Linked DNA regions of Saccharomyces cerevisiae S288C. Changing the gene in region 2 together with the main gene of any one other region gives a genetic interaction. Each region holds a gene or a part of one and is shown on either strand. Other genes may lie near its edges.

Region 1 (2,977 bases), 290 kb from region 2:
GAAGTTTTCTTGGAGGGTGGTACTTGACACAGCATATGACGTTCACGGACTTACTAGCTTATTGGAGATATGATGCCCTACCCAAGAACGCAGATGAAGTCGTCAAATATCACGCTGATCTGAATAGACGTTTAAATGGCCTACCCATAGTAAAACAGTTGGAGAATGCTGGTTTTGTACAAGTGATTGCTAATGAAGAGGAGAACTTGTTAGTGTCAAGGGCATTAAATACACCAGGTGGCGTCGCTATACCACCAAGAGTTTACTACAACCCCAGTAGGCGTGAAACTGTCGGGCTATACCATTTAGGAATGAAACTTACTGGTTATCCTTTCTTAATTCACGGAGGCATTTTAGCAACAGTTATTGAAGATTTAATGAAGGAGGCCATTAGACTCGAAAAAGGAACAAAAAATATAAACCAAGAAACCAAGAATTTGAGTATCTCGTACAAGTTCCCCACGTTAGCTAATCAATTTGTTGTAGTAAGAACCACCGATCTTCAGCAATACGGTAACAAAACTAAATTAAAGGCTGAACTTATGGACCAAAGTGGCAACAGGACATTGGTCAAAGCTAATGCCACGTTTTCTAGCGAACAAGGGAATCCAAAAGAAGAAAAATAGATTTGCCGTCTACTTATTTATTTATTTATTTATTTATACAATAGCTGTACCATGTAAATAATACATATATGAAATTATTGAAACCAATGTATGGATCCATCTCCGCATACTATACAATCCATGGAATAATCATGTTTTTCTAAAGGAATTGGAGAGGCCACCTGTTCCATAAGACATAGTCCAACTAGGAGGGGCTTTTGGCCTTCATGCAGTATCTTATACCGTTGGAAAAAATCGTCATAATACCCAGCACCGTGACCCATCCTTGCACCAGTTTTAATATCAAACGCCACTCCAGGCACCAATACGACATCTAGAATATCTGATTCCTCAATATGCGGTTCAGGCTCTTTTAGTTGATATGGACCTTGAGGCTTCAAATCACGAACCATTTTCAAACTACTCATTCGATGGAATATTAAATGTGGATGATGATCTTCCCGTAATTTGAAGTGTTTCGATTCAGAAGTATGAGTACATCTTGGCAGAAAGACCTCCTGGCCATCTTGAAATAAATTCTTAATGATTTCTCCAGTCGTTACTTCTCCTTTATCCATGCTCATATAACACGCTACACGCCTAGAATTGGCGGAAGCGATCAATGAGCGTACTGCTTGAGAAATAGTATGCGACTCTGCAGCGATAATATCGTAGTCAAGAGCATTTATTACCCTTTTGATTTGACGTCTCAGTAATTGCTTAGTGGCCATTAATTTTTTGTAGCTATATAAAGATAGCGTAGCTGACAGTAATTTTTATTTTTGCCATTTCAATGATTAAATATTATTCGGAAGAAATCTGAGAAAATTATATATATCCTTCAAGAGAATGAAGCTGCTAACTGATTAATAAAAACAGCTTTAATCACAAATCTCTCACGACATGAAATAAAACACCCTTGCAAACAGATGTGGAAGACTGATTGCCACAAAGCTTCGGGCTCGCAAGCAGAATGGTTTTCAGGAAGTGACTTACTAAGCTCGAATATTGTCCTAGATAGCAAACAGGCCTTTGATGGAATCAGTTTGTCTCCTGAAGGTTTTTTTGAAATAAAATGATAAATGAGAATAGCAGACCAGTTCTACGGGTAGGATTGAGATATAAAACGAGAAAGGCACTCTCTCACTGAAAAGTAATGAAAAATTATCAGAACTCCAATCTGCTGTCTTTACATCCTCGAGAATATCGCTAAGCTATCGATACTACGAATGATCCAGATACGACAGTCTTCGCTGGCGATCTTTTTGGACTAAATTTGCTCACTGATACACTAAAAAGCCTACGCAACTACACAAAGGTAAGAAACCACAATCGCTACCCATTAATCCTTATTGGCATTGTAGCCCCATATAATAGAAGTGAAAGAGTAACATTGCGCCATTTTTCGCTACTAAATAACCTCAAGAAATGTGTCCAGCTTATGGTTCCCATAGAGCGAGAATATATGACTTAAAGCATATCCCTGAGTGGGTTGCACTGGTACACACTCTGTGATGGTGGAGCACATTAATTAAAACTCAAAAAAATTATCACGATATGGACAAAAATCTAAATGGGCAAGTATCTCTCACAAAAAGACCTCACGTATTTTATGAAATTACAAATTGACGTATTTCAACCTTGTTTACTCTAAAGTTCCCCCATATAGCATAGGGGTGCTTTGGGTTTATTTAATCGTCAAATATAGTCCGATTTGTCTCATTATTCTTGTGTCGGAAAAAAATTTATTGAAGCGACTACTACCTAGATATTCTGCAATTTTTCCTATAATATAATATGCCTCACCCCAATCAGTCCCTCTTTATGACAAGAAATAAGACTACAGTGTTACATCAGATACTCCACATTCCCCCTATCGAAACCCAACAAGAGCGCTATCTCTTATACAACATTTCACAAAAAACATGTGATATGCTTTCAATTGATCCTATCAATATCAAAATTATCATTCTCACTGCATTATCCTTCATTTTCGTTAGTGCGCATCCTCCATTTTGGGACGTGTCTACCAAATAAAGAATGATGCGAGATACAAAGTAGGTGATAACATCAGAACCCGGTGTTAGAATGCAAGGTATAATCAGCAAAAAAAAAAAAAATGTGTAAAAAAAAAAGGTCGGTTACCAGCTTTACTAAATGTTTTCTATTGAATAAAATCATAGAATTCCATAAGTGACTGTGACATTTTCCACCCAGTTGATACAGTTCAATGAATTCTCACTGCAGCTATATTTTGGATGCTTCTCCACTTTGTAATATACATTGTGATGTTTCTTTGATGAAAGATATAAAATATTAAAAAAAGTTGATTCTTACATCTCATCTTTGTCATAAAAATCCTCTGGAATGGC
Region 2 (3,238 bases):
TTCTTTTATGCGCTTCATTCCACGGCAAAAAGAACCTTTCCCCGCCCCCACTCTGCGACAGGAGTTTGCCGCCCATCTCCACAATAGGCATAGTTGTCGGTACCTTCCAGCGCTACGTCAGCCTCTTCCGGGCAAAAAATCGACGTAGCATGGAAAAATGCATTCTAGACAGCTTTATGCGTTACGATCCCCAATCTATGCTCCCTGGGGAGAGTTTGTACAGGTTTTCTCCAAAATAAAAATACCTACAAAACTCCGAATATTTATGGGTAGCTCCAGTTTTCGAAAATTGGAGAAATGAAGGGGGTTGAAGAAGAAGGTTTCATGAGCATGAAGACGGTAGTAAAGCTGACAAATATGCTACGAAGATTTAACTTCCTGGGGAAGTAGCAAAAAAAAAGAAAAAATATTCACAGAGATAACCTCAAAACACACTTGGGAAGTCATGAGGGGTAACTTAGAATAAGATAGAACTCTATCAAATTATTGCCTATAAAAAATACAAAATTAATCGGGATTTGGCTTCCCTTTTTCTGTTCTATCTTATACACGACAATTAGAAATTTCGAAAACCATGATATCAGATGCGCCGAGTCTTTTCAATTCATCTAAAACAACACCCTTCGTTTTTCTCTCAATCATGGAACTAACAGCAACCCATCCTTCATCGTCAATTTTGGAAATGGTTGGTGCTCTACGGCCAGGCGTCACCTTCAACAGTTCAGGCAGCTTGTCTTCAGGTGCGTTATAAATACATGAAACGAACCTTTGAGCGGTCATGACACCTTCAATTCTTGATTTGATAGTAGCAATCAAACTCTTATCGCTCTTTGGGTTCTTTGATTCTATTAGGTAGGCACTTGTGCTTAGGACGGTGGCAATATCAACTAAACCTGCTGCCCTCATTGTCTCACCACTCTCTACAAGATCTACAATAGCATCACCAATTCCCAGAGCACATGATGCCTCCACGGAACCACTGACAAACTTTATCCTTGTGGTCATTTTTTCAACAGTAGTACCTTCCAAATCGGCAAAGTATTTTTCAGCAAGTTTCACGAAACTGGTAACAATGGTTTTGCCAATTAACTGTTCTGGCTTTTTATACTCGCCATTTACGGGGACTTGTACCTGCAATTTACAGTTACCAAATTGCAAATCGATTGCTAAGTCTACGTCGACGTTAGATTCACGAACTTGGTCAACACCAGTTATACCAAGATCACATTTACCTTCACCAACAAAAGTTGGAATATCTGCAGCGGGCAGAAAGACCAACGCTACAGGTAAGCTTGTGCTTAGTGCAATGTCTAATCTTTGAGAGCGGTGAAAGGTAATATCAGCACCATTCAAAATAGAAACACTTTTAGAATATAAACGACCTTTCTTTGGGATTGCAAACAGTAGTCTATCGGTTAGATGGTTCACCAAATCCATTTTTCTATTGAATTTTTTAGAAACCTATCCTTTCTTTTCTATTTTCAAAGATTCAAACCGTTAATAGGAGTAAAATGCCAAAGTTTAGACGGTAAATACTTGCAGTTCACTGCGTATAAATGGACTTTCAGGCGAGTATATTCTGCAAAAATATTTTATAAGTTCCAACGGTAGAGGTGACTCACTTGGAAGCTTTTTTTTTCAATCGTTGGCTACGTGCGTACACGTGTTTTGCGGTCTCGCTTCGAAATGCCGAAATGAAAGAATTTCCGGGAAGAGTCACGCTGTTATCAATGACTTTGCAACTAATAAATTAACTAATAAATATTTTAATTAATTTTTTGACAAGGAGTCTAATACCTCGCATGCTAAACAACCTCTCTAGCCGGGTTGCCGGGTTACATCTCGTTCTCTTTACGTTCACATAGTCACATAACCACTAGTCACCTGTGCATTCTTACTTTTTTTTTTTCTTTTTGGCTTTTATTGTAAGACTGATATGCAGGCCACAAAGTCTCAATTAGGTCGCAGCCGTGCAAATTGTCTTGGCATTTTTGAAGTTTTGTATATACCATAGAGATTATCTTTGATATGTTACTAATATTGTAAAATACAGTTTGTAGCTATTTTTATTAAATGAGATGTCTAAATAGTTTACATGAAATTGCATCTATGATACATGACGTGAAATGTGCACGGGGAAATGATCGCCCTAATCATTACTTCCTAACGACCGAAGTATTTTAATTCTAAAGGTCTTAAGATGTTGTAGATGATGAAGGCCCAACTTGCACCCAACTCGAACCCAATGTCACCACCATATTTACCAATTAAGCGGCCAATTTCACCAACCCAATAGGTTTGACACATACCCAATGCAACACCGAAGGCACCAACAATTAAGGCAGCAGTACCTGCGATACCGATAGGTAGATGCTCCCAATTATCCCAATCATCAATATTGTAAGCACTGAAGGAACGTCTGTAGAAGAAATGTTCTGAACATGAGATGGCAATGTAAATAGCTAAGTAGTAACCGATAGAATCCATGAAATTCTCCATAAAGCCATCAAAGTAATAGGTAGCAGGGATGGAAATACCTAAAGTGGCAGCATTACCTGCCATTGTCCAGACTACTCTTGGTATTTTAGCCAAAGGTGCCCACAAAGCTTGAGCGGATAAAGCAACAGTATACATATTTGGAATATTATTTGCAATAGTGGACAGAGCTAACAAAACGCAGCAGAATTGACCAAATCCGTTCAGAGAGTTAGGAACCAGGATAGCATATATGACACCACCCATAGCATTTTTGTCATAATATGCCTTCCAGGTTGGGTCATTAAGAGCAGCCATAGCAGAAGCAGCACCAAGAATCATGGTGAAAAATAGAGGGAACGCTAGACCAGCAACTAGGGAGAAAAAAATCTTGTACTTGTTTGTACTCTTTGGCATATAAACAGTGTAGTCAGCTGCATAGGTCGTCCATCCTGCGGCAAAACCGAAAATAGATGAACCAAAAGAAAGAACACTACCTGCAGTAGTTGCACCTCCTACCCATTCACCACCTTTAAACTTTCCTGATCTCGATAGTTGGGCAATAATAACCAAAAAGACGGCAAAATTGGGTACCCATGACCATTTCTCGTATGCATGAATGACACTGTAACCAAAAAAAGTCACAAGCACGGTACCACCAATAATGATCAGACAACCGGCCCAAATAGGACAGACGTGGCCGGAGCCTTCATTCACCATATTCAGCAGTTGTGCGGATACTGAGGTATTCACAATACCCCAA

The links.
Region 1: of HIS1 (region 2) and FAU1, a mutation in one rescues a mutant of the other (synthetic rescue), as found in Saccharomyces cerevisiae (one study listed by BioGRID).

The regions. Positions count from the first base shown.
Region 1 is NC_001137.3:552,634-555,610, forward strand, and holds FAU1 (5-formyltetrahydrofolate cyclo-ligase), read right to left. Parts: upstream 1,337-2,977; coding exon 701-1,336; downstream 1-700. Other genes in the region: FMP10 (Fmp10p), read left to right, coding at 1-626. UniProt on the Saccharomyces cerevisiae protein: Only enzyme known to utilize 5-formyltetrahydrofolate (folinic acid) as substrate. Contributes to tetrahydrofolate metabolism in an alternative way of folate biosynthesis.
Region 2 is NC_001137.3:264,349-267,586, forward strand, and holds HIS1 (ATP phosphoribosyltransferase), read right to left. Parts: upstream 1,438-3,238; coding exon 544-1,437; downstream 1-543. Other genes in the region: FCY2 (purine-cytosine permease), read right to left, coding at 2,164-3,238. UniProt on the Saccharomyces cerevisiae protein: Catalyzes the condensation of ATP and 5-phosphoribose 1-diphosphate to form N'-(5'-phosphoribosyl)-ATP (PR-ATP).